Linked DNA regions of Schizosaccharomyces pombe. Each later gene encodes a partner of the first gene's protein in a complex. Each region holds a gene or a part of one and is shown on either strand. Other genes may lie near its edges. The genes, in order: arc1, arc3, arc5 and arp3. A codon is read from its position in the direction of its gene.

What was found.
Region 2: arc1 (region 1) and arc3 share a complex: the UniProt entries of both Schizosaccharomyces pombe proteins name them as parts of the arp2/3 complex.
Region 3: the proteins of arc1 (region 1) and arc5 are in contact, whole or in part, in a crystal structure (PDB 3DWL), measured with the Schizosaccharomyces pombe proteins. Residues at the interface, in NP_595909.1 of Schizosaccharomyces pombe: Gly205 (codon at 3,798), Gly206 (codon at 3,795), His225 (codon at 3,738), Asp226 (codon at 3,735), Ser227 (codon at 3,732), Lys248 (codon at 3,669), Leu249 (codon at 3,666), Ser250 (codon at 3,663), Gln251 (codon at 3,660), Leu252 (codon at 3,657), Pro253 (codon at 3,654); in NP_593727.1 of Schizosaccharomyces pombe: Ser137 (codon at 2,773), Gly138 (codon at 2,770), Ile139 (codon at 2,767), Gly140 (codon at 2,764), Val143 (codon at 2,755), Arg144 (codon at 2,752), Asn147 (codon at 2,743).
Region 4: arc1 (region 1) and arp3 share a complex: the UniProt entries of both Schizosaccharomyces pombe proteins name them as parts of the arp2/3 complex.

Annotation. Positions count from the first base shown.
Region 1 is NC_003423.3:2,210,881-2,218,894, reverse strand, and holds arc1 (ARP2/3 actin-organizing complex WD repeat subunit Sop2), read right to left. Parts: upstream 4,498-8,014; 5' UTR 4,458-4,497; coding exon 4,385-4,457; exon of another isoform or gene 4,338-4,384; coding exon 3,277-4,337; 3' UTR 3,078-3,276; downstream 1-3,077. Other genes in the region: protein tam10, read left to right, coding at 1-21, 69-355; cdc18 (MCM loader), read left to right, coding at 1,022-2,755; meu17 (glucan-alpha-1,4-glucosidase), read left to right, coding at 5,523-6,875; acetolactate synthase regulatory subunit Ilv6, read right to left, coding at 7,299-7,809, 7,890-8,014. UniProt on the Schizosaccharomyces pombe protein: Functions as a component of the Arp2/3 complex which is involved in regulation of actin polymerization and together with an activating nucleation-promoting factor (NPF) mediates the formation of branched actin networks.
Region 2 is NC_003423.3:3,108,833-3,116,632, reverse strand, and holds arc3 (ARP2/3 actin-organizing complex subunit Arc21), read left to right. Parts: upstream 1-4,395; 5' UTR 4,396-4,428; coding exon 4,429-4,434; exon of another isoform or gene 4,435-4,480; coding exon 4,481-4,580; exon of another isoform or gene 4,581-4,660; coding exon 4,661-4,936; exon of another isoform or gene 4,937-5,032; coding exon 5,033-5,175; 3' UTR 5,176-5,433; downstream 5,434-7,800. Other genes in the region: pdk1 (serine/threonine protein kinase Ppk21/Pdk1), read left to right, coding at 247-450, 554-790, 845-954, 1,018-1,188, 1,239-2,172; SPOM_SPBC1778.09 (GTPase-activating protein), read right to left, coding at 2,665-3,909; SPOM_SPBC1778.07 (carnosine N-methyltransferase), read right to left, coding at 5,434-6,053, 6,171-6,672. UniProt on the Schizosaccharomyces pombe protein: Functions as a component of the Arp2/3 complex which is involved in regulation of actin polymerization and together with an activating nucleation-promoting factor (NPF) mediates the formation of branched actin networks.
Region 3 is NC_003424.3:2,345,830-2,353,627, forward strand, and holds arc5 (ARP2/3 actin-organizing complex subunit Arc5), read right to left. Parts: upstream 3,496-7,798; 5' UTR 3,442-3,495; coding exon 3,296-3,441; exon of another isoform or gene 3,252-3,295; coding exon 3,179-3,251; exon of another isoform or gene 3,139-3,178; intron 3,053-3,138; coding exon 2,876-3,052; intron 2,786-2,875; coding exon 2,723-2,785; 3' UTR 2,623-2,722; coding exon of another isoform or gene 2,596-2,622; 3' UTR 2,494-2,595; downstream 1-2,493. Other genes in the region: negative cofactor 2 complex subunit Bur6, read right to left, coding at 603-1,202; CENP-W family protein Wip1, read left to right, coding at 2,179-2,259, 2,380-2,493, 2,596-2,622; mediator complex subunit Med20, read left to right, coding at 4,498-4,511, 4,554-4,642, 4,712-5,190; ilv3 (dihydroxy-acid dehydratase), read right to left, coding at 5,542-7,338.
Region 4 is NC_003424.3:347,202-355,483, reverse strand, and holds arp3 (ARP2/3 actin-organizing complex actin-related protein subunit Arp3), read right to left. Parts: upstream 5,052-8,282; 5' UTR 5,008-5,051; coding exon 4,973-5,007; exon of another isoform or gene 4,910-4,972; coding exon 4,886-4,909; exon of another isoform or gene 4,814-4,885; coding exon 4,285-4,813; exon of another isoform or gene 4,190-4,284; coding exon 3,590-4,189; exon of another isoform or gene 3,525-3,589; coding exon 3,429-3,524; 3' UTR 3,188-3,428; downstream 1-3,187. Other genes in the region: GTPase-activating protein Gyp7, read right to left, coding at 1-1,584; SPOM_SPAC630.04C (uncharacterized protein), read left to right, coding at 2,557-3,057; GATOR2-SEACAT complex ubiquitin-protein ligase E3 subunit Sea4, read right to left, coding at 5,572-8,282. UniProt on the Schizosaccharomyces pombe protein: Functions as ATP-binding component of the Arp2/3 complex which is involved in regulation of actin polymerization and together with an activating nucleation-promoting factor (NPF) mediates the formation of branched actin networks.

The DNA.
Region 1 (8,014 bases):
CTCTAGCGGAGGATCCTATGGGTATGTATATTAAGCATTAACAGTAAATGCTCGTTAACACTGAAAAGTAAAAAACGTAGCTGAAAATGATCATGATCAAATGAAAAACTCGTTAAGTAGGAGTCAGGATAAGGGAAACACTGACTACTGGCTTGCAGCGAGTTTGTCTGGTGGAAATCAACGAAAATCAAAATTTTTAAAAATGTTGGGTATAAAAAATGCTGCATCCATCACTGAATCGTCTCCGTCTGCTCAATCTAATAAAACAAATGACAAGCAGAGAGAGAAAGAACTAGAACAACAATATATGCACGGTGTTTTACACAAAGGAACAAAAAAGGGATTGGGCATGTAATTTGGGGTTTATGTTTAGTTTATTCTTTTGGATAATTACCAAAATTCTCATCTTCCTTTTGTTAAACTAGCTTAAAGTGTTCACTTGCATTCTAAACTAGAGGAAACTTTGCTATGAAATTCAATTTTAGTGAACATTGTAAGAGGTTTACTTTTCTTTAATCGAAATGCTGTTTGCTTTATTGGCCATTAGCACCAAAGATGGTATGGTCCATCAAAAATTCGTTCGTGGGACCTCTGTTATCTTTAGGGATAATTGAAAAAAGATTTTCTAATTTATTAAAAGAATTTAGGGTCTTTTACTTTAATTTTACTAACGTCGTAACTAAATTGGAATATGAGAAGGCATTTCATATCTTTGAGGATGAGTCGTTATAAAATAATATCATTACCTGAATATAAACTTATAGAGTAAAAAGGTTCGCGCGTAGAACGCGACACGACACGTAGAGTTGAACGCGACATCTCATTTACTCTTCGTGATTAATTAGATTTCGCGTTTACGTGTCGCGTCGCGTATATTTATAAAAGACATATCTGCTCTTAAACAAAACTTAAACACCAAGCACGAAGTTAATATTACTTAGTAGCCCTTTTATCAAATTTACCTGACTTGTCTATTGGTAAATAACATAATTAGTAAACGGGGTTACTATAAAGTATCGATATGTGTGAAACTCCAATAGGTTGTCATACACCTCGAAGATGCAATCGTTTTATAGATTCTGCAGCCTTGATTGACTGTACTAACAAAACTAATCAAAGGGAGCATTCACCTTCCTTTTCAATAGAGATTCCGACTACACCCAGCAGAAAACGTACGCTGGCTAGCTCACATTTCCAAACACCCACAAAAAGAATAAAATATGAACTAGGAGAACTGCAAGAGGAGAAAACTGACCTTTATCCTAATTTTCCTGCTCAGTTAAAGGAGAATAAGAAACCTAAATTACCCACAACACCTCAAACTCCTAAAACCCCCAAAAGGACCATTCAAATTGTTACACCCAAATCATTAAATCGTACATGTAATCCTGTTCCATTTGCTACTCGCCTTTTGCAATCGACACCTCACCGTCAACTTTTTCCTCCCACTCCTTCGACACCCTCCACTCCGTCCTATAATTCTACTGCCAAATTGAGTTTACGTAAATCATATCGTTCAGCAGGAGTCGTGGGTCGTGAAAATGAGAAGTCAATTGTGGAATCTTTCTTTCGTCAACATCTTGATGCTAATGCTGGAGGTGCATTGTACGTAAGTGGTGCCCCTGGCACAGGAAAGACCGTTCTGCTTCACAACGTGCTGGATCATGTAGTGAGCGATTATCCCAAAGTTAATGTTTGTTACATTAATTGTATGACTATTAATGAACCAAAAGCAATTTTTGAAAAAATTCACTCTAAAATTGTTAAAGAGGAAATTTTAGAAAATGAAGATCATCACATCAATTTCCAATGTGAACTAGAGTCGCATTTCACCCAGTCCGCCAATGAATTATATAACCCAGTCATTATTGTTTTAGATGAAATGGATCACTTGATTGCTCGCGAACAGCAGGTTCTGTACACGCTTTTTGAATGGCCCTCTCGACCGACTTCGAGATTAATTTTGGTAGGCATTGCAAATGCCTTAGACATGACAGATCGATTTCTCCCTCGTTTACGAACAAAGCATATTACTCCCAAATTACTCTCTTTTACGCCTTATACTGCTCAAGAAATCTCAACAATTATAAAAGCGCGTTTGAAAACCGCCGCTACCACATCAGAAAAAAACAATCCTTTTACTCCTATTAAATCAATCTCTGAAGTAAGCGATGATAGTATAAATGTTGTATCTCAGCATGCTGATGAAACACCTTTTATACATCCTGCTGCAATTGAATTATGTGCCCGGAAAGTTGCAGCTTCAAGTGGTGACTTGAGAAAAGCATTAGACATATGTAGGCATGCAATTGAACTTGCGGAAAGAGAATGGAAAGCTCAACATGACAACACATTATCTTCTGTTGATATACCAAGAGCATCAATTGCTCATGTTGTCCGAGCGACATCTGCTATGAGCCAATCTGCTAGTGCTCGTTTAAAAAACCTTGGTCTTCAACAGAAAGCCATCCTTTGTACGCTTGTTGTTTGTGAAAAAACCTCATTGAGTGTTGCCGATGTATTTGAAAAATACAGTTCTTTGTGTCTTCGAGATCGTTTGATTTATCCATTAACAAGTTCGGAATTTTGCGATGTCGCGAATTCTTTAGAAACTCTTGCAATCATTCGTTTGCGCACGAAGCAGCGTAACGGAAAGCCTCAGGACCGAATCATTAGTTTGCTTGTTCCAGAAATGGATGTCATTACAGCTGTTGGAGACATTGGTACCTTAAAACGATTTTTTGACAGAAGATAGTACTATCATTTCTTTCTCATTCTTTTTTTCTATTCATTATATTTTTATTTCACGCGTTACGGTTTTCAAATTTTGCCGAAAGGATCAAATTAGAACATCCTTTCAATTTCGTTGTTTGGATTACATAAATTTGAACAATATTATTTATCCAACTTGGTGTTTAAACTTTTCAGGTTGATCTTTACTAATTTTACTAACTATACAATTAATAAACACTTTAATCTAAGTTATATCTAATGATTATTCGTAAGAACGCATACCCGTGGTTCAGTCTCAAGTGGTGGTATAAGTAAACTTACGTAGCAAAAGCACTTCTCAATTTTGGGGTCTCTAAGAAAAAATATATACACAAAACTGAATATGATTGACAAAAATTTATAAGACGACATAGTAATCATATAAGCTGCGGAATAACAGTTACTATATCTAGCTAAAGCTTGTTCAATTCTTTTATTCTATGAGATTAACATCTACGGAAATTCGATAATTGATTTGATAAGATTCATTTGCCGATATCTTTTCTAAAGAGTCCACAAAACAACACGTCCGTCGGTACCGCTGGAGGTAAACGCAGTAATATTGCCAGGAGTCCCAGCGTAAGGTCGAAGGGTTGCAATCATATTTTGATGAACGGTTGGTAAAGACGAAATAGACTGGCTGGAGCCCTTCAAATCCATGTTACGGAATGTGCTACGAAGAGCAGTAAATGAAACAGGACCCTCTTCCTCTCTACCTTCACCAGTATTTCCTGTGTGAGTGAATGAGGTCTTGGAAGTTCCGGCATCCAAATCGCGAGTATGGGCCCAACCGGACTCATTGCCTTGCAAAAGAATAGGAGAATAGTTATAGCCAGCAGCCACAATGGCACTCTCATTCGCCCAAAGAAGAGAACGCAAAGGCAATTGAGATAATTTGACAGTAATTAGAGCTCGTGGGGGTTGCTCGGGAGCACTGGGATATGCAATCGTAACAGAAGAATCATGGCCAGCATACGCTAAGGCATTACCCGAAGGTGAAAATCCAACGGCGTGAACCCAACCACCAGATGGGTATTCAGCGCAAACAGTGTTGAAAGGTAAACGTGAACCCCAAACGCTGGCTTCTGGTTTGGCATCGACATCACGAACATAAGCAGATAAAACGTATGCCTTACGGTCTGCACAGCCGGCAGCTAATAAAACGTTATTAGGATGCCAGTCCAAAGACAAAATGGTACTACGAAGCGGACGTTTCAGATGTTTGCTGACCCACCAGTCATTTTCTTGTTCAAAGTAGCAAACAGAAATGACACGAGCACCACTACCAACAGCAAACTTGTCCTCGTTAGGCGACCAACGAACAAACGTAGCGGCACGATTCAAACGAAGTAAGACGAGGGTCTGCTTCCAAGTCCCATCAGGACGTTTCTCATAAACATAGGCATTACGGTCTTGAGAGCAAGTTACGATTCGATTGGATTTCGGAGCCCAATCGACACAAGTTACAATCTTATCGTGATCGCTAAATGTTCGGGCATGCTTCCACCCATTTCCATCTTGCTCGTAAAGTTCAACTTGGTTCGTAGCAGTTGTGGTGACAAACTCTATATCAAATTTGTTAAAATCTACTTATTTAGGTCCTATACTGTACCTGTTCTTTGACTATTGAACGCGTGTTCGTAAGAGGGTTTAGGAAGAATGTGTAAAACTTGAGAGGTAGCCATTTTTCAGTAACAGGACTAGCAGTCTACTGTTTTGCGGATGATAGACGATATCCAAGGCTGAATCGATATTGGTGATGACGAGAGCAGTAGATACATTAACAAAAAACGTTAGAGTACTTTATATACGATAACGCATATCGATGGTATCGGTAACTCCTTTGTTTACATTTTAAAGGTTTGTAAATATTACAACTCAATTAAGACTAAAAAAAATTCCATTAAATAAAATTTGATTTTCTTGCATATCTTTTAGAGATTTTTTATTTTTAAAATATGAGGTGGATACAAGATTTCTATTTGCGTTGATTGTGGAAGAACAATAGATCTTAATGTCTTGACAATCGTGAGTGAACGATGCTCTCTGAGTATTTTTCTTATTAATGAATAAATAATAGGGCGAAGAGCATAATACAATAATTCTCCTTTACAACAAAGAGATGTGTTTTAATGATTGCTGGAGTAACTGAAACGTTGCTTCAGAATTTGACAGCGACATCTTGTCCATTATCACAGTTATATTTTGTGCTTTTTAACGATGATTATTTAAAAAGATCACACTTGTTGCTTATACTCAGACTCAGTAGCGTATTTGATATTAAAAGCTGTGCTGTCGATTTTTTCCAATTCAACAAATTTTGTCGCTATTTAAGTAATTGGTGAATGCACACTTCCATATTATCATAGATCTGAATACTATAGAATCAAACTTTATAAGCAAGTGTTGAAAATAAACAAACAATAAATACATTTTCTTTGGTAATCCTTGCTTCGCCAAATTTTCAGTATAAGCCAAAAAGGATCAATCACATTCATTTACTCTGTTTATTTACTAACTTATATAGTCTAGTTTTGTCCATTCGTGTCGCAGCATGATGATCGATTTTGATGGTAATTCCCTCTGTTTTTGTTTACTAATAAACAAAGCAAAAGACATATATAGAGCAAATATTCCAGTTAAATTTTAACTAAAGCGCATATTTTTATTCGTTTGCCTATATAATTAAACACGATTGCCATCAATATTTGTATAGTCTACCCAATTTTACAATACTTTTAAATTCCAACATGCGTACATACTGGTTATTCTTACTCCTTGGGGGGGTCGTATCTGCAGAAAGCTTACTTTCCCCTAATAAAAGAAGCAAGGAAGCTTCTATGGATGAATGGACGGATCAGCAAAAGGGTATTGCTATGGGACATATGCTGAACAATATCGGTGACAGCGGTATGCATGCTAAGGATATTAATCCTGGATGTATTATTGCTTCCCCTTCAACTGATTCCCCTGATTACTATTATCAATGGGTTCGTGATAGTGCATTGACGATCATGACTATTTTAGATCGTTTCTTTGAAGGGGACAAAGGACTTGAGCCGATTATCGTCAAATATATGGATGAAATGGTCAGGCTCCAAAAGGTCCCGAACCCAAGTGGAGACTTTTACGCCGGAGGTCTTGGTGAGCCTAAATTTAATGTTGATGGGACAAGCTATGACGGAGATTGGGGACGTCCCCAGAATGATTCCCCTGCTCTTCGGGCTATTGCATTTATCAAATACATGAATTATTTATTTGAAAATGGTAAAGAGGTCCATGAAGTTACTGTCTGGATTGAGGCTGTATTAGCCGACTTGGATTATACTGCAAATCACTGGACAGAGGCAAGCTTTGATCTTTGGGAAGAAATTAAGGACGTTCATTACTTTACTCTAGCCGTTCAGAAGCGTGCCATGCAAGATGGTACAGCTTTTGCAAAGAGAATTGGAGCACCTGACCAAGCCGCACTCTACCAACGCACGATCGAGCCTATTGATCTAAAACTGGGAGAGTTCTGGGATCCTGGAATGGGTGTTATTAAGGGTTATAAAGGCAGAGTCGATCGCTCAGGACTTGATTGCTCCACTTTGCTTGCAAGCCTTTACTCAAATGAGTTTGATATGCACATCCTTCCAACCTTGTTGAAGTTGCAAGAAACCATGACCAGAGATTATCCCGTCAATCAGGGATGGAAGCAAGCAATGGGACGCTATCCCGAGGATGTATACGATGGTGTCTCTAAGTCTATTGGTAACCCTTGGTTCATTTGCACAAGCAGCGCTGCCGAGATTATCTACAAAGCAATCGCATACTACGATAATAAAGGTTTACCAGAATTGACTGAATATAACATCCATTTCTTTATGAAATTTGCTGAGTTTGGAGATCCATACAACTGGTCCGTTATCAGGAAAAACATGCACACATATGCTGATAACTTTTTAAAAGCTGTTGCTGAGTTCCAACATCCAAATGGTTCAATGTCTGAACAATTTTCGCGTGACGATGGTCACCAAAAAGGTGCAAGAGATTTGACATGGAGTTATTCATCCTTATTAAATGCCATCTACAGAAGAGAGGCAATCAAAGGCTCTGTCTAAAATATTTACGAAATCCAACGGTGTTAAGTTAGCCAGCTATCTTAACACCTTAAAATACCATCCATGCCAACAGTGTAATTACACTGAAATCAAGCTATTCAACAAGCTAATGACTTTTATAAAAAGGATGAAATCATAGTCTTTTTTAATAATAAAAAGTAATGCAAAACAATGTTATCGTTTATATGTTACCTACAGCTGTTTAAATAAAGACAACATAGCAACAAATTTCATCTAACCAAATAAATTTCGATGTATATTCGTAGATTCCTATACAAAAATCTCAAAAAAATAACTAAAATTTTTACGCAAAAAGTACAACCGCTCTTTGGATGTACAAAACACAAAGTGAATATATTTGTACAATGGGAAAAAATGCTTAAAGCATCAAAGTAGAAGCGAAGAATGCGATTTTTTTTTGGTTTATCCAGGAGGAAGGAAAACCTCTTCAACTTCAACATCGTCCTCAGCTTCTTCAGTAACTTCGTTAGAATGGGGTGCGCGAGTCATCGCAGATGTACCAGTACGGCATGCTTCCAAGACACCATAGGGACGCAACAAAGAAAGAAAGTTATCAACACGATCAGGAGTAGCAGTCAACTCAAGAATAATAGTCTCCGTAGAAATATCAGCTACACGACCATGAAAGAGAGTAGTAAGTTGATTGATAGCAGCCAATTGACTGGCACGAAGTTGTAAAGCAGCATTCGCATTCATGACACCCTCACCATCACTTTTAGCTTTAGCATTGGTAGACTCGGCAACTTTCTCACTTCTCTCAAAATGCTCTTGGAAGTGATCAGGGCCCAAAAGCGAAACTTTTGCAAGAAGAAGCTCACGCTCGACCATGCTGGTACCGGTGTAATCCAAGACTGCCCAAACAGATACGATATCTTCAATCTGACGTTTTGCCTGCTCAACGACTTCATCAGCTCTAAAAAAATGTTAATAAAAATTAGAAGGAAAGTAAAAAAGGTCAGTGACAATTATAATTGGATCAATTACTTTACATACCCTCGAAGAACAATCGTCATCCTAGAAAGATTCTCTACCTCAGTTGCGCAAACAACCAAGGAATCAATGTTAAATCCACGAGCGGCCAAAATACCAGAAAGACGGGATAAAACACCAGGCTCATT
Region 2 (7,800 bases), 900 kb from region 1:
ATTTTTTCTTTGACAATTCGACCTTTAATTTATTGTTTACATGGCATATTCTACGTTTTAAATTTATGTAATAATGACGAGGATTGGAGAAATAGGGTACTCTACTTAGTGTTTACATCCTTCACAGAACACAACTCCAAGGCCAGCAACTCCACAATTAAATGCACGGTGTTTCAGTTGGAATCGAACAGCAAACGTAAAGTAACTCAAACACAACTTCATTTTTCATGAAAACCTCTTTTATAAATGATGGATCTGGAGCATAAACGCATTAGCCGAAGTACATTGCCGGATTATGCGGATCCCGATTACTTCGAGGCTAGAGGTGAAAGAAATCCGGTAAAACCTCAGTCTTCCAACGTAGTACCAGGAACAAGTCATATAGGATCGATCAAATCTCCGGCGGATTACGTTTTTGGTGACATTATAGGAGATGGATCATTCTCAAAGGTAAGTTGATACATTGCTTCTCAGTTCAGAAGTTTTTCAACCGCAGGTCGATTAACCTATGGACCTTCGATTACTGACGAATAAGTTGTCTAATATTCGTTAGGTGAGAAGAGCAACTGATAAAAAGAGTTGGAAGGAGTACGCTATCAAAGTCCTTGATAAAAAATATATTGTCAAGGAAAATAAGGTTAAGTATGTGAATATAGAGAGAGATTCTATGATGAGACTTAATGGGTTTCCTGGTATCTCTCGTCTTTTCCATACATTTCAGGATGATTTAAAACTTTATTATGTGCTTGAACTTGCACCCAATGGTGAACTTTTGCAATACATCAAAAAGGTATATTTTTTCATTAGTCTATTCATTTTTCCTTTATTAACTAAGCTTTGGTAGTATCGTTTTCTTGATGAGAATTGTGTGCGCTTTTATGCTGCTGAGATTTTATCAAGTATCGAGTATATGCACTCCTGCGGTATAATTCACAGAGATCTCAAGCCAGAAAAGTATGTTTGAGTAGTGGTCATTAAATGTTCGTTTCCTTTTCCTAATTCTAACCTATTTTTTAGCATTTTATTTGATGGAAATATGCATGTAAAAATTACCGATTTCGGCACAGCCAAAATCCTACCCCCTAAATATGTAAATAGCCCTGATTACACTACCTTTCCAAGCTCCTTTGTTGGCACTGCGGAATATGTTGCTCCTGAACTATTGTCTAGACAAGTTGTTTCAAAATCGTAAGAAAACCTATTATCCCAGTCTATTTTTTTTCTGACAAATATTTAAGTTCCGATTTATGGGCTTTTGCGTGTGTTGTTTATCAAATGATTGTTGGTTCCCCTCCTTTTCATGGCAGCAATCCTAATAATATTTTCAAAAAGATAATGAGCCTGGAATATGAGCTTCCAAAGCTCTTACCACCTGATATCGTTCCTTTGTTTAGCCATCTTTTCCGTATTCAGCCATCTGATCGATCTACAACCCAACAAATAAAACAATTTCCTTTTTTTGCTACTATTACTTGGGACAATTTATGGACTCAAGATCCTCCTCCTATGCAGTCATTCCGGCCTAATTATAACATAGCCATTCCTAATGCTCCTGCTTATTATCGCTCAAATGTGACAGCCGCAGCTGCTGCTAATGCTGCCGCGGCATTTGCTTCTGCATCCATTGTAAAGCATCAGGAAACTGCTCGACGTCAGGAGCTTCCTACGGTAAATCGTTTCACTGCTCCAACTGCTCATTATGGCTATGCTTCACTTCGAAGCCATCAGATGCCTGTTGACAGACTTTATTACAAGTTGGTTCCATCGTCTGAGTCGATCATTGAATCTACCTCGGTCTTCGTATCACCCATTCCAAGTGTACCTGAGGGTAATAAGTTTCCATCTGGACTCTCAAAAATGTTTTTGAAAAGAAAGCAAAGGGTTATGCTATTAACTGATGTTGGTCGATGCGCTTTTGTTTGTAAAGGAAAACATGAGAGACTTTTTATCGAGATGGAGGTGAACTTGAAGGATTCCAGTGTTGTAGTGATTTTTGATGAAAATAGTTCCAAGCGATTCTTGATTGAAGATAAGGTCCAGTCCTGGATAATAGAAGACAGTTCCGGGGATGTCACCAAGTATAAAGACAAAATCCTTAAGTTTGCTGATGTTGCGTCTTCTCATCAATCTCGTTCTTCAGAAGAGAATGTAGAAGAGAACGAGGAAGAGTAACCCCATACCTTGTTTTATTTGATTTTTCAACCCATTTACTACCTTCTTTATATTTTATTATTTGTCGTCAGTGTTTTGGTAATATTTAACTATTTAAGCTATACATAATTAGAAATTACGACGCACCTAGGAAGTCGCAAGATGGAGAGGTATTATGTATACATATATATGTATAGTATTTATAATATATATACTTGAATTAATTTTATGTTAAAATTCCATTTCTTTTGGTGAGATGTTAAAATTATAATATTAGTAAGAAGAGAGAGTTAGATAGGATCGATTTAAAGCGCATACTCTTGATACCAATAAAAGTTTTGTGGTATCAAGGAAATAATGTTTATCAACGTTCCAAATTAAAACAGAAAAAGAAAATGATAAATGTTCAGGACCCATTATGCTAAGCTCTGTGATATCAATCCTCATCTTGTTGACATATGTTACATCATGTGGGCCACAATTAATAAAGCTATTAAAAAAGAGTTAGAAATATCAGTTTCTCTTACTTTTAGAAGAATTTTCAGAAGGCATTTTTTCCCAAAATAATTGAATTCTAGCAAGCAGGGCGTTATCGTTTTGAATGGGAATAACACCTGACAGAGCTTGCATTACTACTTCAAAGTCTGCATCAATTAGCGTGTCCCACATTCCTTGTATAACCGCAAGAGAAGTGGCTTGCAATAACCTGACAGTTTGACCTTTGCTTCCACCTAATAAAAACAGGAGATCCCATATACGTAATTGAGTATGGAAGGGCACGCATTGATGAAAAACAGTGAGATACCAACGTGTAGCAAAAGCAGATGGTTCTGCTCCAATTTCCGCCAGATGTCTGCCTGATTGTGTAAAACTTAACTCATGCTTAAGCATGTCAAAAGCCTTTAAAAGTGTATCAAACCCGGAAGAAAACAAGTCCCCCATGCCTCTATTTTCCAATAAATTTACCATCATTATAAATGCTTGTTCTTCGGGATAGTAAATGAGCAAGGTCGCAGCAATAGAAGCCATTCCTTGAACGTATCCAACACGAGGTATATAGAGAGCTACAGCATGAAGAACTCTAAATAGTAAACGTTGCCCTCCAATGTAGCGTTTTCGGAATAAGAAATGTGTAGCAGCTGTTCTGGGAACATCTAGGTCAATTTGAACATCATAGTCACAAATCTGCTCGTTCAATTGGTAATACTTGTCAATCAGTTTTTTATCAGGAAGAGAATCCACAAGAAAGGACCACCACGCAATAGATCGCCAACAATCTGGAATCCCCTTAAATGTACGTAAAATTAACTTACGAGTTTTTCGAAAAGAATGGAGCTGATTACCGGAAACGAGGTGTATTGAACACATCGATTTCCATTTTTGAATACGGGAAAGCTCTTTAGCTGATATTTCGTTGCGGTCATGCGACTCGCCGGGAACAACCATGAAGATGCTTTCATCAACGTACTTCAGCATGTCATCATGGCCGATTAATTTATTGCCAAGACGTTTGGCAGGGTTTGGTTTATCTAATGTTGGGTCTTTACTAACTTTATAGAACCCTAAATTATTAACATTAAAGTCTGAGCGATAGTTTCCGTAACGATCCACATTTTCCAATGACTCTTTTGTATCGATTTCTTGAACTTTTCCATTAATAGGTTCTGGTATATTTAAATTATTCTTGTCTTCTTGTAACCTGTACAACGACCGAATTCGTTGCAAATTGGTTGTTCTAGTTGGGGAAGGGTTTTCCATGCTCTTTCAGATATATCCTCAATTCCGTCACTCTGGAGAAAACAGATTACCTACTAAACTGTATTAAAATATCCAACACAGAAAGATTTAACAGGGGGGAATTGTTTCCGATGTAGTAATGTTTACGGTCCCAAAAGACCGTCTATCCCCATATAAGTCAGTACGTTAGATCCCAAAATCAAAATAACCAAACATGAAAATCTTTTTTTGACGTTTTTATAATTTTTCAAGCAATAAATGCATTCGTGCAAATGCTTATGAATTTGGTTCTCGCTACAAATTTATTGGCTCTATGTCATTTCCATTGATGAAAACTAGTTATAAAGTAGAGACCGAGACCCGATCACAAAACAAAAAAACGACACGCTATATTGCTTTACTGTAATTACATAGCTTTTCGCTATTTTGTTTAAAGAAAAGCTAATTTATCACTATTGATGCTTGACGAAATGCTCCCTATCGGCACATTCAGCAGGTGCTCAAGTTATCCAACAACATCATAAGCACTAGACATTAGATATGCCGGTATGTTCTAAAGTTTTGAATTTTTGTTGCTGACATGTTATGAAAGGCCTATCATTCCTCCTTCTTAAGTCTTACGGACGTCCCTACCACGGGAAACATAGCAATGCTGCCGTTGAAAACCAAGTTTCGTGGACCGGCTTATCCTGGTATGTTCCAGATATTTGTCAACTCTGTTTAAAGACTATTCTTAATGTTATTAGAGTACTTTCTAACATTTTTTATACAGCTGATGAGAGTCAAATGGATATTATTGATGAATGCATTGGGCTGTTTCGCGCCAATTGTTTCTTCCGCAATTTTGAGATTAAGGGACCAGCAGACCGTACTTTAATTTATGGAACATTATTTATCAGTGAGTGCTTGGGAAGAGTTAATGGACTCAATTATCGTGATGCTGAACGTCAACTTAATAGTTTAGCGTTGGAGAATTTTTCTATTCCTGGCTCTGCTGGCTTTCCCTTGAATGCATTATATGCTCCTCCCCTTTCTCCTCAAGATGCTGGTAAGATTCACCCAAACTGTGGCATTAGACATATAGATGTTTGTGCCGCTAATAGCTTTCTTGCTTTTTTTTTCATTTGCTAACTATTAAAAAAAGAAATAATGCGTACATATCTTACTCAATTTCGTCAGGAACTTGCTTATCGTCTTTTGTCCCATGTATATGCAACTGAAAAGGATCATCCCAGCAAGTGGTGGACTTGCTTCAGCAAGAGACGTTTTATGAACAAAGCTTTGTGAGTCTATTAATTAATAATTTGGCTCATACTGTATTTCAAAGCCTTTATGTTTTTCCGTTTCCTTTATTTCAAATGCGGCTTATAAAGTTTTTGAAGCGTACGAATGGCTTATTTAATGTAGGCAGTTTTATACGTAGATAGTAGATGCAAAAATAATCGCTTTACTTTCATGTACAAGTTATCAATTAGCTTTGTTAATTATGCTAAAGGAATATTTGAATGATTAAAGTCGTAATATTCAATGTTGGTTCAAAAATTTTTATTGAAATCGTAATTTTGATTTTTGCAAACGGCAGACCCAATAATGAGGATGGTATATCCATTCAAGCATACTTCGTTTGTCCCCCATATAAGTCGTGTCGACCGAATTGTGCTTTAAAACCTCAAATCCCATACTATCCATCACGTAAAACAGCTGCTCGAGAGTCAATTCAACGAAAGGTTGTTGCTGGCTATCACTGTTAGAATTAGAAGTACCTTCTGACTCAAAATGATACAATAAAGGCCCGAGATTTATCCAATAACCTCCATCTACCAAACAGTTTTTAATTGTATCCAAATAGTCCAGTATGTTTTTTGTAGTGTCTATAAAGAAGCAGGTAGCTACTACTTGAAACGAATCACGACTTTCTTCGGTGCCGTATACCTCCAGGAAATCCCCGGCTGCCATTGAAAAGTTTTGTGAATTCCGCAGATATTGAGAGGGAACTGCATCAGGAATATTTAATGAACGCACCTGGTCATCACGCATGACATGGTTCGAAAATGAATGAATATAAGGATACACAAGAAACTGATTTTCCTGCTTTACGCAATTCAGTATGAAATGCGACGTTAAAAGCATAAAATATGAGAACTCATTTCCTTGGCATGCAAAGCCTATTAAATGTTAGAAGCTATGTCCAAAAATCCAAATTTAGAAAGAAGTTAGAAAACATGTAATCAGATAAATAATAAATCATGCTATTTTTGATTGATAGTATCAAGTGTACCTACCTTCCACAGCTATATCAAAGGCCAATCTTCCTAAGCCGGAACCTGGAACAAGTACACGAATTTTAGATCTGTCTATAGAATCAGATGGGAAAAGTGAATTTAGTTCCTCGATGAAAGGAGCATATGTAGTACGGCGTTCCTCAACACATTCGGTCGACCAATCTCTCGCAATTTGCTTGAGAGTGCTTGAAACTTTTTGCATCATATCAACATTGACATGAAATAACTCATTTTGATCGAAATCACTGCAGAACACAGGAATGGCTGCGTTAGCGATTGCTTCAGCAAGCACGCTGTTCTGCTCGATACATTGATCAATCCTTGAAAGATGCTTTAAAAAATTGTTGTCAGAGTCCTGTAAGAGTAAGTCCTTGTGTTCAAAAGACAACCTGCTCATCGATTTTCTCTTCTGTTGTGTTATTGTATGAGCATATTGCCTGTACAAAAAGAACGCGCTTAAAACTTCTTTCAAAACTTTTACTTCTTCCTCATCATATTCCATAGTTTTTTTTGATGTTTCTGAGCTCTATCTAGACTTTAATATTTTTATCATCTAAGTCGCAATTTTGGCGTTGTGGAGAAGTTAAACCTCTAACTTGTTGCTTCATTGAAGTTGGAAGTGTTGAAGAAACCAATAAGTTAAGAATATTATGGTTAATATAATTATGTTTTATGTATTTCATTAGCTTTTCAAGTTATGTTTATATCTACTGTGTTTGATTGCAATATTGAATCATCTCTGCTGAAAATCCCTGCAACGCGGTGCCTCTATGAAAATAGTGTTTGCCTTTTGCAAAAATCCCATAGGTTTTATTTGGATAGTTGTCAGACAATATTTTACAACAGCAGCCGCAAAGGAAATTCACCATGCTTCAACAATACCGGAACAGCTAATCTTCTGAAGCATCGTTATAGTAGTATTGTGAGTTTTGTAGATTATAAGAAAATAATATAAGAGAATCTTGGTGCACGCAGTAATATCATACAATATTTATATTGCAGCTTATAAACGAGACTGGAAATACACGTGAAAAGGTAGTCAGGTTAAAAGTTTAACCCTGTGACATCTGGCTAATCTTTTATCCTATTGCGCAGTTAAAAGCGGGAATTACTTCTTTTTCTTATATTGTATCAAAAATTGTTGGCTTCAGTGACCTAAACCCTTGAACAAAAGAAAAAAAACACGAATTTTCACGGCCGGAAAAACTTTCTGCAACGTTTTACAAAGGATCTACTATCATAGTAAGTAGAAATTTTGGCTTCTTGACATATAGTACTAAGTAATTTTCAAGTCGATGCATCAGTTGACTTCAATTGAAAGAGCTTGCTAGTTTGTGATGTTTATGGCATTTGAATTCGGTAATATCGCTAATTTGATATGGACTTACGTTTAGCTTTTTATTCTGTAAAAAAAATTAAAATTCAATGTAGTTGATATCCCAGCTATATATTCAATCTAAAGCTACAACGCAAGACATCGTCAAGTAGTAAATTACTTTTTACAATTGCAAATTAACTTTTAACAGATTGGCTAAGCAAACGTGTATTAACTCATTTAGCGAGCGGATCAAAGTTTTGCTCTACGCTTCTGTAAGTATGATGTATGTGCATCAACAACACGACGTTAATC
Region 3 (7,798 bases), on another chromosome or scaffold:
AGTGTTTTATGTTTATTTTTTACAACGATCAAGTTCTCCCTTCATTTTCAATTTTGAAAGCACTTCAAGCATTCATCATGCCCTCTTATATCATCCATTGGAAATACAAAACCAAATACTTTCTTTTTTACTCAAAGAAGTACGTTTATACTTTTGCATTGCATATAGTTTTATAAAATCTTAGACTATAAAAATATCATTATTTGAATTTAAATACTAACAACAAAGTATGTATAAATAAATGCTTAATTATAAACAAAAGGGTGTACGAGTAAGTGATAGGTTCGTAGAATTGTCAATAGCATCATTTTGGCAAATAAAATCAGTAGACGCCAAGTTGGTCTTTCATAGTACATTAATAAGGCACTTTAAAAAAGCTCAATATGAACAACCAGAACGTATTATATTCTTAAGTCGAAGAAAAGGCTTAAAAATACTAGAATTAATGTGCCAATTTTATAGTCCTATGTACAAGTAGCTTGAGAATATTTTCTGAAAACAAATTCAAGAAAAAAGGGAAGATAAGAATAAATGTAATAGCAAAACAAGAATAAAGTATACAAAGACATTATATTTATGGTCATATAGGGTGGAGAAAGTAGCTACTCATCACCAGACGCGGAAGAGGCTTCACTAGTTGTCTTGTCAGAAAAATTACCATGATCAACAGAGGCTTTCTCCTCGTGATCTGCTTCAGTTTCCTCACCAGTAGGTTCTTCTTTGACAGGAGTTTCTGTGGTAGCTGATTCGTCATCTTTTTCAATTTCCTCTTCTTTAACAGTATTCTTTTTAACTTTTTTAGCGGGAACACTTTCATTATGCTCACCTTCATTAGCTGCTCGACGAGCACGGGGGCGTTTTGTCTTTCTTTCGGCTTTAATGGGCGGAGCATCCGGTACTTTTTCAACAATGTCTTGAAGAAAATCAAACTGTTCAACACTTTGAACAGCATGCTTTAAATGAGAAACGGTAACACGCTTTGCTTGGTGCAATCGCGTCTGTTTGCACGATTCTTGAATTATACTCTGCATGAACAATTCCAACGCTTTCGACATAATAACCGGAGTAACTTGAGCGACCTTTCCAACGTCCTGGTCTGCTTGCATAATCTTTTTTATACGAGCAACAGGAAATCTGCTTTTCCAGTACGTAGCAGGATTTGGTTTAGTTTCACTATCATTATTATTTGTTGGATCACCCATTATAAGAAGCAGAATTAACAAGATAATTCGATATTAAAGTCAATAGTAAGTTGGCGTGTAAATGATTGTTTCGGAAATGAATCGCTTGAAGGAGCTGGTAAGTAAGGTAGTAACGAAAACGTATATTACTACCTCTATTGAGACTGTCTGTCAAGTTTTTAAAAAAATTTTTTTTCTAATTTGTCGAATTTGAGAAGTTAAAGTAAAAATCTTCTAGTGCCTAACAGCGGATCTTAGTATTCTTTATAACAAGGTAGTGGTGAAGGACTCGTTTAAAAGCAGAATTTTATGTAGGTCGCGGAAAGCAATAATTCGGAATCACAAGCGACTAACTTCCAGGAAATATAGCAAAGAAACTCGGTAAATATTAATTTGGTTTTCTTTTAGTCGCCATACTTGCCAAGTATTTTGCTCAATATTCCAAATGAAGGCAATTTAGAGGTTCATAATATGCATACAATCACAGTTTAAATAAGAATAAAATAACAGATTCAGATATACGTGTGTAATCAGAGCAAGCAAAACAAACCAGCAACCAAATTTTTAAATACTAGTAAAAAGTTTTTCTTTTCTTAAAGTAGTAGCGAGTAAATACATGCTTACAAATGAACTCAAAGTATTTAAAAGCTTTCATGCTTAAGATTGCTGCTAATTGATATAATATTCCAACTTGTTTTGACAACAAAGACACATAATTTGCAATGTCAGTGCTTTAATCTTTGTACGTAATAATTACTTTTACTAAGAAAATTTCAATTAATAATATGACATTAAATTTATAAAAAATTGATTTGCAATAGCACCTTTGTAGAATCCTTCGAACTAATGACTCAAAAGGACTCGCACTTTACCTTCTTCGAAGACGACACAACGATTATCACTTTCTATACAGAGCTATCCTTGCAAGATATGATTACTCTCTAATTTTACAAAACTAAACGGGATTAATATTTTTTTTTGCAAGAAACTACTTACTATGAGCTATCCTAAAGCACGCATAAGACGATTTTTTCGTCAGCATTGCCAGCGCAGCCTTGAAAGTTCCGCATTGGATTTGGTATGGAAAGTTATAAATGAAACTAGCTATTTCTCAGTCAGTATCTTTTTGGACGCGCTATTCTAATAAAGATATTCAAATTTTTTATATTGAATGTTTTCAACTAACAGAATTTTCAAGGTATATTTGGATTACTGTCTTTTCTTACAATCCTTACTAAAAGAAGCCAATATTGAAGCGGCTAAGACTGGGGAAAGAAGAGTACAGCCAGAACATGTTCGAAGTATTCAAAGAGTAAGCTAATATTGAATAAACTAGATTTATTATCTTTTCAGCAAAGGCGTAAATCGATTGCACTTTATTTTTTAAAATGGAACATACTTACTAACCATTTAGAAAATTCTAGCTCAATTTAAAGGATAAAAAGAGTCATTATGTGGGAAAGAAGACATAAAACAGAATCATTGATTCAGTTCCATAAGCGACAGAATAGTAGATACCAAAAAGTAAGATAAAGCCATATTTATAGATCGGGTCTACTATTGAGAACACGAACTATACATCCTATACCGGATATTTCCACCACCTACAAAACCGTATTAGTGACCGAATAAAAATGTAAAGCATGAGATAAGCAATGCTAGAGCGTTGGGAAAAGCAATAAACTAAAAGTTACCTTTTCGTGCCAATTAAGTAATACAGACGAGTTGTAGGCTTGAGGATTCGCCAATCCACGATAAATGAAGTTTACAATATTATCAATTTCCTCCGTTGAACATTCTTTTACAAATGCGGGAATGTCAGCAGCTCGTATATTGCTTAATACATCAACAAAAGCATTCAAATATTGAGTCTAAAAAAGTTAAAATTCATTTACACCATAATAAAATGAAATCAAGAAGAATTGTAAATTTAATCAATAAATAAAAACGTAATTGATATAAACCGTCTTTAAGCAGTTTGTACAGTTTGCACATACCCTAACTTCTTGAACATCATTTCCATAAGGAACATATGAGAGTAAGGTTTTCAAACCTTGTAAGGCATTTCCTCTATTTTAATTAATAAAAAAATTGCTTCTTTTAAATAAACATACGTTTGAATGGCAGACCGGGCTTGAGGAATGAGTTGAGAGACGGCTGCTTGGACTTGCTCCGCCGTTTCGTTACGAATTGGAAATATATCTTGCTCTGTTAAAACAGGTTCTGTGATGGAGTCGACATCCAAAGTCCGAAACGTCATTTTATAACTCTATAACTGGTAAGGTAAAGAAAACGATGGAACAGGTTAAGTTTCAGCTGTGTGTAGCTCTAAAGAGGCATCATACAACGGTCGAACGCAAGTCTGTAACTGAAGTTATTATAATTCATAGAGTATATTAATTTAACCAATAAGTTAAGAAAATTCAAAAAAATATATTTATATTTTTTTAATCTTATAACTTTAACTTATAATTTTTGAGCGGAGCTATATAAGTCTGGTAACAGCATTACTAACTTCTTCAGTACTCCATAGACCTCTTTTGTGGATGTTTATTTTTTTTTATTTGTAAATAATCATCTCTACCTTTGGTCTTAGATGTAAAGTTCTGAATAACTTGTAGACAGAAATTGGTTACATATTTTACATTTCTGCCTATGGTGATTCAGAAGAAAATATGTTAGATACAGCCTAGTAATTAGTTGAATAAAGATTAAAAGTAATTTTTTTTTTGCTTCTATCTATTTTCAGTATGTATATTGATGTATGAGTTTATACTTCTATTCGAACAATAACTTTTAAGACTTATTTTGCTGACAGAACTATGTAGTTTCTTGTGTAAAGTTCAAAGTAAAACGAAGAGACACATATGTAACATCCTGGGATTAACAGATTTTTAATTAGTGCTCAAACCAGCCAGTTACATTGTTACGTAGTATTTGACTCTCCAGAAGTTAATTATGAATGTAATTCAGTTAACTTAATTCTCTTCAAGCTTTTAACAATTTGCTCTGGGATTATCATACCCAAAAGCCATATACTTTGCGACTTGGAAAATAATAAAAATGACAAGAGATAAATTAATAAAATTTGAGCTCATATTATGTCTATCTGCTTTTTTTTTTTAATACAGGAACAATGAAAATGAAGGTTTTAAATTAGCCTGTTAGCAATTCTTGCAACCGCCGTACGCATTAAACTCTTCACATCAACATTACAGTAGAAGTAAAAGAACTAATTCGGCCATTTTTCTCAATAATTCGGTATAAACCGATATTCAGATGCATAATTAATTACCATTCATCTTTGTTATAAAATATGCCTGTTCACGGGTAAAAAGCATACCGATTGACTATTTTGCTGATTGATTATAGAGTTATTTATTATTCATCGCCTTCAATGGCGACGTTCCTTTCTCCAGCACAGGATAATCTGGTTAGGACCTACTTTGCACAACATTTAAGTAAGCTGACACTGGTTTGGATTTTATTTCTTATGATTGATGATTTCAAGATCTAACTTTGAATTTCAGAAAAATGGGTAGTTCAGTATAAACTTTACAGAAATGCTGTCACTCCAAAAACTTTAGAATTTTTGAAGCAAAACATTAATCCCAGCATGCTGGCGTGTGTGGATGAAGCGACAATGATTGATGCAGAACCTGAACTTGAGGACATCATTGTGCGAACGAAATTATGGAATTTTCGGCAGTCCTTTACTATTGAAGGTTCAATATATGAAGTAGGGAGCTTTAAAGTGGCTATTGCCAACGTTTTACAAAAGTCCGTTTGGAAGGGTATACTTTTTCATGTAACTTACGATGGTACTGAGTCCGTCGATCTCGCACGCCCTATTATTCAAGAATTCTTTCTTAAATGCTTTTTACAAAATAATAAATCGGTAACCCCTGTCTATGAAAGCTTCTTTAACCAGCCTCGTCATTCTTTGGATTCAAAACTTCTACTACAGTTGTTTAAACAACGCATTGATACCGTTTCACAACGCACATAGAATAAAAAAGTATCAATTTAAATTTTTTCTGTAAATAAATTTCTATCTAACTAACTGTCAAAGTCTTGCTTTATTGTCAGCAGAAAGTTATGGCTCCCTTTCACATTTACAGATACCAATTATGTTTAATAATAAAATAGAAATGCAGGAGTTTGAATAACAACCCATTTTAAACTCGATGCATTTCACTGTACTCCAAAAAGTAATTATTCATTCAAAATTATTCAAATAAACTCTAGATGAGATTATGGAATCAGCATTAAAAGCTTATTAATCAACCTTTACTACCAAAACATTAAACGTCTAAGTTTCCAAAATACTATGCGCGCTTATAAAAGCATTGAATATGCTTTACTCTAAGGAATCTGTAACAGCACCCTTGGAGGCAGTGCTAACGTTGCGAGCATATTTTAAAAGGGTTCCTTGTTGGTACTTCAAAGGAGGTGCCTTCCAAACACTGCGGCGTCTCGCCATCTCCTTCTCATCAACCATCAAATCTAAAGTGTTCTTTACAGCATTGATTTCAATGACATCGCCGTCCTGAACAAGAGCAATAGGGCCTCCAACTTGTGCTTCGGGATCAACGTGTCCAATCAAAAATCCGTGAGAGCCACCACTGAAACGACCGTCAGTCAAAAGTGCAACATCCTTTCCAAGACCAGCTCCCATAATAGCACTTGAAGGCTTTAACATTTCCGGCATACCAGGTCCACCTTTTGGTCCCTCAAAACGAATAATGACGACAGTCTTCTCGCCCTTCTTGAACTCACCACGCTCTAAGGCAGCAATAAAATCGTTTTCGGCATCAAAAACACGAGCTTTGCCGGTGAAGTTCAAGCCCTCTTTGCCAGTAATCTTTGCGACAGAACCTTCAGGGGCTAAAGAACCACGGAGGACACGTAAATGACCCTCGGTCTTGATGGGGTTGCTCAAAGGTCTAATGATCTTTTGACCTTCGGCAAGGTCCTTGAATCCTCGTAGGTTCTCAGCGAGAGTTTTACCAGTAACGGTAATATTAGAACCATCGATGAGACCTTCAGCATGGAGATATTTAAGTACTGAAGGAATACCTCCGATAGCGAACAAATCTTCCATAACGTACTTCCCGCTAGGCTTCATATCGGCAATAAACGGTGTACGGTTACTGACGGCTTGGAAATCATCCAAAGTTAAAGTGATACCAACAGACTTAGCAATTGCGATCAAATGAAGAACAGAGTTGGTAGAGCCACCAAGAGTCATCGTCAAGACCATAGCATTTTCAAAAGCAGAACGTGTCATGATGTCGCGAGGTTTAATGTCGTCAACCAAAAGTCGCTTTATAGCACTACCTGCAGCTTCGCATTCTGCAAACTTCTCAGGTGAGCCAGCAAGGTAAGAAGAAGAACCGGGTAATGTCATACCCATAGCTTCGGCACAGCTAGCCATTGTATTTGCAGTATACATACCACCACAAGCACCACCTCCAGGACATGCATGACGAATAATGTCATGACGGGTTGGCTCATCAATTTTTCCTGTGATAAATTCACCATAGGATTGAAAAGCAGAAACAATATCGATGGGTGCATTGTTCTGACAAGGAGAGTGACCAGCACGAATACTACCGCCGTAAACCATAATACTAGGGCGGTTGAATCTTCCCATAGCGATTAAACAACCAGGCATGTTTTTGTCACAGCCAGGAATAGAGACGTTGGCATCATACCATTGACCTTGCATGACGGTCTCAATGGAGTCTGCAATAATCTCACGAGATTGCAAACTATAACGCATACCAGTAGTACCCATAGAAATACCATCACTAACACCAATAGTATTAAACTGGAATCCGGTCAATCCAGCCTTTTTGACACCTTCTTTCACTCGTCGACCGAGATCAAGTAAATGCATATTGCAAGGATTTCCTTCATACCAACAACTAGCAATGCCGACTTGGGGTTTTTTCATGTCCTCCTCATTAAGTCCAGTAGCATATAACATAGCTTGGGAAGCACCCTGAGACTTCGGACCAGTGATTGTTTCACTATACTTGTTCAATTTCTTCTCGACTAAATTGATCGAAGAGGTTTTAAAGCCTTTTAGGCTTAATGCAGCTCTTTTGCTAGCAATACCGTTTTGACAACGGAGAAGCTTGCAGAACATCATCTTCTAAAAAAAAAATTTCGCTTTGTTTAGACTATAGAAAATTTTCTACTAAGGGTCAACTCCAGGATTTCTTCAAATTCCCCTTTTATAAATAATAATAAACAAAGGAAAATATGAAAGAACAAACTTATAACAAACTTGGTGTTAGATTTAAATGGAATATCTGCTGGTGACTTAACTTATTCACCCTTGGTTAGTGGTCCTGGTAAAGTATGCTAAACCGGAGATGCGAAATATAAAACACGGTTTATATCTCGGTAAATCAAACGAATCAAGAGAAAGCCCAATCATTTCCTAAATAAATCAATATAAAAGTGACATGATTGGATATATGGTATGACACATAAAAATCTATGAATGTACAGATCATGGTGATCGTACATAGCAAAAACGTTGTTTTAACTAAGAGGCGAATTTTCAGTAAGAAAAAAGCATGACTAGTATTTTTGTCGCTTCATAT
Region 4 (8,282 bases), on another chromosome or scaffold:
CCCCAGCTCCGTATCATATTCGTTATAAGTCAGAAGGATATCTTTCATCATTTCCATATTCATATTGGTTCCGGTAAACGTTGATTGAGGGTCAGGATGAGGAAGATCCTCAATTTGGAAGTATTCATGTTGTCTATCTGTACGATGTACGTCTTTCTCAATTCGATTTCGTTGCTCAATAAACCAACGATCGTTAAATTGTTTATGAATATCTTCATACCACTTTCTCTTCAAAGTGCAATATTCTTCTTGAAGGCTCAAATAAATAACGCGTCTTTCTTCACTAGTTGAATCCCAAGGGTAAACAGAGAGCAAAAAAGGCCAAACTTCCTTACGAAGAGAGGGTTGTATACCCCCATGAAAAATTATTCCAAGAACTCTATGAACGTCAACCTGTAATTTCCCATGAGCATTAAACATTGAATTCCATTGCTCAACAGACAATGGATCATCACGCTTCACCCTCTCTTCTATGTACACTAGTTCAAATGGACCCAGCGACGAATCTTCTTCACGCTGTGCATCAGTCCAAACACCCGCATTATTGACAGGTTGAGAATTGTTACTCTCAGATTGCTCTACAATACCCTCAGCCCAACGAGCCAAAAACATTCGGGCTGGATCATATTCTTCAGTTAATTTTTGAACTCTCTTTGACTCAAGAAGCACTTGAAGCTCACGTGGAAGGTGTGGCAATATAGACTTGGTAACTTTATGCTCCATGAGTCTGTCAACTTCTGATTTGCCGTAGTTAGTGACCCGACTAAACCGCTCAAGCACAGTGAATGACAAATCATGAAGGGCACGGCGAAAAGGATTAAAGATAGATGATGAGCTCCTAGGCGTAGGAGGGGTAGAACTGGAGTTAAGTCGATTATTAGAAATGACTTTTTGAAGTTCAACTGATTGAAATGCCACAGTATCCTCAGGAGAAGGATTAACAAGGTACAGTTGTGATTCATGTGAGGACTGTTCAAGAGAAGCGTATTTCTTTAATTGCATCAACAAATGCGTTCCACCCCAGAACATATTTCCTGATTCATCGAAGGGATCAAAACGATCTCTGGTAATTTGCTTGCCATACTCAATAGTACTAATACATTCATCATCATGAAAAAAAAGAGGAGGGAGGCTCTCACCACTGTCTCTCAAATTAATCACTATACTACCATAATTCCATCCATATCTAGGAGGTCGAAATATAATTGAATAAATGCTGCACAATCGTACAGAAAAAGAGTAGTCCAAATGCTGAGGAATCTCTACCCATTCTCTAATAGAACCGTTTGAAAGGGTTTCCGCATTTTGAAATACGGAAAGATCCCTGGGACGATTTTTTAAAAACGAATCAGGAACCCATGATAACAAAATATCGCTTCCGGCCACTGATGAATTTCCTAGCGCCTTTGACTTAGACAAGGACAAATAGCCAGATATGTTATCCTTCATTTTCGATGTGGGATGAACAAACACCTTGCTTTTAGAGAAAAGGAGAGCGACCTTCGAATTGTCGATGTGTATGTCGACTGTATCATCTTCGACCTCTGTCATCTCTGGCATATCCAGAGATTCCAGCGTTGTCATTACAGGAATAGAAAACAATCAGTTAATTCCAAATTTTAAAGAAAGAGGAAATTGCTAAAAATCGTTTAACGCTGCAAAGGTACGAGACTTTGTTGTCTTGCAACAAGCACCTATAGCTAGGTAGTGGCGATGCACGTAAGCAAGCAGAGGGCTTAGTATAGTAAACGCATTAGCGGACACCAGTGTGCTTGACCTTAAATTGAATATGTTGAATTTTCTGATAATTATTTTTCTCTTTACAATAAATTATTAAATATATTATGGCTTTGACCTTTGTGATAGCTTCTCCTGTACGAAATAATCCGAATAACAAAAATTTGAATAAACATTTATCCACCTCAACTACTCTATTAAAAAGAACAACTGAAGAGATGAAAAATTAATTGCTTTAGATTTAGATGAAACAGATGAATCTCTAATTAAAAACTTTGCAGTTTCCATTCAAGCGACATACTAAACCAATCTTTTGTTTACAATTTAACGATCACCTCGTAGTAGCTCATTATTTAAACGGAGATCGTCAAATTCACTTACGCTGCATAACCAAGAGCAGAAATACCAAAAGTAATTAATTCATAACTAATTTGCCGATTGTGAAATAAATTTATACAACACAGTTAATACATAGGCGCACGGATGATCTGAAATCAAAGCATATAATTATACATGGTCAGCTTTTGGATGCTTCCGGTGACTGCCGTATCGTACCGTAAATATCGCAAAAAAATCCAGACTCTGGGGAAGGAGACGGGAAGCTTTATGGCTTATCTTTGTTTTTTACAACAGTTTTAACCTCACTTTTACAAACCTCAAAGTAATTGAGTAAAATTAAATTGGAAGAATAATAATTGCCTTGCTATATCAGTGAGTTCACTGGATTGTTGTAAATTTCTGACGTTCAGTCTTAATTGAGCCGTGGCAATTGAAATTCTACTGGGAACACTACACGTTCAAAATTATAATCAAACAAAAATGGGGGAAGAAATATCAGCCATAGACCTTGTGATGGCTAATGATCAATTGGTTTCAACATCAGATGCTTCAGATATCCCGTATGACCCTTACTCCCAGTTCTGGGGAAAAGTGTTGGTATTAACGTTTGGGATAATCTGCGTTGTGTTTGTCATATTTATGTTGCATCATGAAAGAATTAAAGCGTGTCGAACCATAATTTCTGCACGGGAACAGCAGAGAACACAACACTCAATTCACAGGAGAGAGCGCTCTTCTTCCGGAGCATCACAACAATTCGAACATCATGTTCGACAGACTGATTGCCTCCCTCTTTATGAACCTATTACTGCTCTTAACCAGCAGTACTTGAAAACTTTACCCACCACAAGCACACCTCCCCCGCCCGCAATATTTGATGAAAATGGTGAATTTGTCGGCGACGTTCCATCTGTTGCCGGTGCAATTGAACGCCCACCTTCTTATGAATCATTACCTGCTCCGCAAAATGATGAAGTTTAGTTTTTTTTATGATGACTACTTGATTGCTTCTGCTTTCTCTCAACAAATTCGTTGAGTACTTGTACACTTTCCATTTTATCCATCGTTCTTGAATAATAAAGTATTTATCAGGCGGAACCCATCGGTTTCATCCGTTTTCTTTTTTTTTCTCCTTTTACGTTATTAGTAATCACTATATTATTATTCTCATGGTTCTCATCATTATTATTTGGACAAGTTAATTATATACATCTTATTTGATATTGCTCAATGAAAAAGCCTGGAAACATAGCAAACCTCAAGTCTATTTCTTCTAAGGCTAATGCCTGCTCCATTAAACTTTTCATTTTAATCAGTAAATCCTATAGACGCAAAACTCATGATATATTTCATTAAAGAGAATTTCCAAAAATTTGGTACCTACGAGCAATGGAAGCACCATATTCTTCGTAATCTGCTTTGGTATGGCAATAGGATCCGAATTCAGGCTAAACATGTCAGTAAATCTCTACGGGTAAACTAAAAAATATACAAACATAAGATAATGACATACCGTTTGTGCTAGTAAACTGCCGCCAAACCAAACCGCATTTCGTTGACGTTTATGGGAGATAACATTAACGTCTACACCACCACTTTTAGCACCGGAGAGCATTTCACTGCGGTGAATACGCTCGTCAACAATCCGCTTGAGATCTCTTTGTAAGCGGTTGCCAAAGTTCTTAAACAAAGTACTACCACCAGAAAGGACAATGTTTTTATAAAGGCCTTTACGAACGTCAATGGGTGAGCTCTGTACGACGTTGTCCACAAGTTCCGGAAGAGGGGTCAAAAAATCGGAAGAAGCAATCTCAGGATTAAAAAATATTTCAGGTGCGAGGAAGCGTTCAAATCCTACATCAATAGTAGTAGAGTGTCCAGTAATTGATTCAGATGCATATTTTAAATAACGGTCGGGCTCACGATCAAATCTACTAAACTCCTTAACAATGTCCGGACAAACGTAGCAACATTCCTCTTTAATTCTTTCAGCAGTTTTGAGACTTGAATCAGGTTCATTGCGGTCACGTAATAAGGATTGAACAAAGTACGTAACATCACGACCAGCAAGTGGCATTGTCTTAATGGAAGAGCCGATAACATATCCTTCGGCCTAAGGTTTATCAGTTAGTAAAATTCGGGCATATATATATGCATTTAATGTTCAAAACTGTTTATCTAAGCTCGTATTAGATTTTTTATACATACAACAGGAATAATATGAGTAACGCCATCACCAGAGTCAACAACAGTACCGGTCAACGAACGATCAGTAACTTTTGAAGATGTCCAAGAGGCGGCAAGAGCCAAAACCGCTTGAACAGCAATGTAGAGTCCTGCACAGTTGAACGACTCAAACATAATCTCTGCAGTATTTTCACGGTTTTCAGGTGGATTCAAAGGAGGTTCGGTCAAAAGAAAATAATGGTCCTCTGGTTCACAACGTAAATATTTAAAGAGAGACTGTTGCCAAAAACGCTCCATATGGTCCCAATTTTCTATTTGTCCATGACGGATAGGATAGTCCAAAGAATATCCAGCAGACGCCTTTTTCAATGCATCGTTTCCAATAAAAAAGTCCAAGTCCTCAGTTGCCCTTTTGCTTGAGAGATGCCCACTGCCTTTCGAGGCCATGTAAGAAGGCTTTGATGAAACAGCCGGCCCTGAAGAAGCACCCGCAGAACGCGTCGCAATAACAGTGGGGAATACATAAGAAGGAGCATCGTTCCCAGCATAGCTGAAATTAAATTACTGTTAATAAATGCTCAAAAGAGAGATAATAACATCCTAAAACGACTATTACACATACCCAAGCTTGCTATAGCCGGTACCGCTAACAAATAAAGTTAGTAACTGATATTCACGAACAATTTAACTTCGCTACATCAATACTTACTTGTCCATTATAATGGGAACATTAAACGAAGCCATTGCTATTATTTTATGAAAAGGTAAGCGAAAGAGAAGTTGGTTCCAGTTGAAACTCTTAATATCGTCTCGCAACGGTCACCGATGTCGAATTACGTGGGTTAACGGGAAACATATGGTAATTTACGAGATGAGCCGATTACGTTAAATGCGAATGCCCGTATACAACCCACTTTGGATATCTTTACTAAGGCCAAATTAATTTACACAAAAAATTAAATATGTATTTCTTCAATACCAGTACCACCGGTTAAAATTACCAAGTTGCTAAGCTAGAAGACGCTTCTTGCTACTAGAAAATTAAATATTAACGATCTTGCGTTAATCCCTTTTCAGTAATAAAACTAACCACGTTGGTATTATCAAACAATTACAAATGTAGATAGCTATGTCGAATTTTTAAACAAATCATAGTATTAAAGACCTTATGCTTTAAACCTCTTAGCCTTAAACATTTTTAAGCTGTAATCATGGATTTTATATTCACTCATGTAGCAATTATTACTTGTGAACCAAACCATAAACTGTTATTTTAATGCTATTAATTAATGCTCTCATTTGCAATTTCTATTTCAGTTTGCATTCACAATCACAGTTAGGAACCGGACATATTGTATGAGTTGAAAACCATTCTGAAGCATGAGATGCGTGAGCTCCATGGCCACAATTTAGACAAAAGCTAAACCATAACCCAAATCTAGATTTCTGAAGATTAACTTCTTTGACATAGTTTTGAGGTTTTTGAGAAAAGTCATCTTTCTGAGGAACATCTTCATCTCCTAAAGAAAACCCACATACAGAGCACTTTGGAAGAGGCTGTCCGCAATGAGGACAACTTTTTCCCAAGTGTTTTGCTGGGCCTGCTTTACTGACACCTCGTTGAATTGGCGTTGGTAAATTATTACATTCATTCCTATTGGAGAAAGGAAAAATTGGTTTTCTACAAAAATTGCAGATAATGCGTATAGATGGCTCTGTAGCCTTTCTGGTTATTTCTCCTGTGTGATTTTTTGAGAGTTCTGTCCGAAAGATATCAAACTTTGCACGCTCACGGTAAAGTTTCCAGCGGTTTAGAAGCTCTCTATAACTTTCAGTCCAATCCTCTGCACGTTTATCCAGAAATTTCTTAGGTACCACAAATGCAGCAATCAATGCAGCAGTTTGAACATCGCTTGTATGATCAATGTAGTTCTGCAGAAGTTCCATTCCCAAAGGAGTTAAACCTGTAAGTAACAGGCCTTCTGGGTCGCCTGATTGCACTGTAGTGTGACATAAATCGCACAAATAATTACTCAAATCGTCATCTGGTAAAAAGCGAAGAGCAATTCCAAGACGATCTTTTAATGAGAGAGAAACTTCATCTAATACATCTCTCCAATCGGAGTTGGAAACATACGCAAATATTGCACGTAAGTATGGATCTTCCAATTCTGTACTTAAGTTACGAGACATTTCTTTCCACAATGAGTCACTTCCAAAGTTACTTAAGCCTTGCGATGTAATGTATCCGGCAACTGCTGTGGATATGGTCTTCTCCAGCTCATTCCCACTTGATAATATACGGACTACGTTTTCAATTTTTCCGTGGAAAAGTGCTAACCCAGCGGCTTTTACATGCTCATTCTTGCGAATCAGTCTTCTAATTTCCAACAACAAGTCATCATTTGACATTCCTAATCCACAGGCAAGTAAAGCGAGTTGGCGTAAAGGCCTTTTAGTTTGGATAGACGTAAATATATCTAAATCAAGTCTCTCAATAACATCTCTAGCAAGTCTTAAAATTTTTTTTTCTAAAAATTTGCTTTCTTTTGCTTCAAAAACATCGGACATGCTAGTCAATTCAGTATCCATAAACCAAATACCTAGTGCACCTTGATAGCTGAAATCTGTATCTCCTGTGTCTCCAAACAGTGATTCTTCTGATTGTCTATGGCTTAAGTGAATCCAAGACCATAGATCTTTTAAGTATAAATCAGAAACTAATTCTGAGTTTTTTTGGGAATCAAATTGGTAGCCCTTTTTGACGCGATCTAGTATTGTCCCTTGAATATCAGATCCAAGGACGCGGTTATAGGAAAGCAATACTTCATGAGCGGAATCCTCTGAATTGATTGAGTTGTTTCTTGTCGTTAGAAAGACTTTGGAGGAACAAGAAGACGAGGAATCGAAAGAGTTTTCATCGACAAATTCGCTGACATCAAATTGTGGGACATCAGAAAGTGTGTTAAATGGTGAAGAGTTTAAAGGATACAGTTTTTCTTTGAAGGAAAATATCAAATCATTATAAGGGTTAAATGAAAAGGGAATGACCTCATCATGGACAGAAAAAAGTTTCGGTTGTTCGTTTATGACACCCAAAATTTGAACATGAGTTGGAAAGGCTGTAGAAGGAGTAAAAAAATCAATGCCAGAACATTGTGAATTTGGTTTAACAGGATATTTCTTCTCATAATTTACAAAGACAGAATTATTTGCGGATCCTTCATTTCCATTGACACAAGGCAATAATTGACGAAGTGTAATCGAATTGTTTGACAAAACAGCCAATTGTCCAGGTTTCCATTCAGAATATTTCAGTGCAAATAATTGTGGATTTTTGGGCTTTTTATTTTCGTTCCGTAAAATAATTTGTAAATAATTATCGGATTTGAAGTATCGAGTATCAAAAATCGCAATGTCACCATCATAAGAATTTGCGGCAAAATAGTTAGGAGAAAATGGATCAACAACTATATTACTATAATATTGCGTATTGACGGAAGAAACTGAGTCTAGTTGCTGCCTAGTATCAATTATATGGACAGAACGCGAAGTTGATCCGGTAAGCAAAAGAGGAGTGTCTTTCTTATAACAAACGGAAGAAACTCCGTCTAGAGTAGAAGACTGCATTAAGGGACTACTCTTCGGGTCAGACAGTAATGAATTCAAGTCCCATAACTTCAAGGAAGACTCGTTTCGAGATTTTGCAAATCCAGCAACAAGATGTTCAGTTTCAGAAAATGCCAAACTATTGCAAGGGCGAGCATATCCAGGTGTTACTACTGCTTGAAATTCTGGATGCTTAACAGAAAGCAATGATATATTTCCGGTAGAAGAACCAGCACCCAATATTTCATTGTTTCCGTGAAAAGAGTCTATACATTTAACATTTTTCAATGATCTCCAAATAATGTGAGTTTTCCAATTTACTTTAGGGGAAGCTTTGACGGCGACATATCGAATCTCATCTGAGGAGCCGTTAACCCAAAAATAACAGCCATTCCTCTTTTTACTTCTAT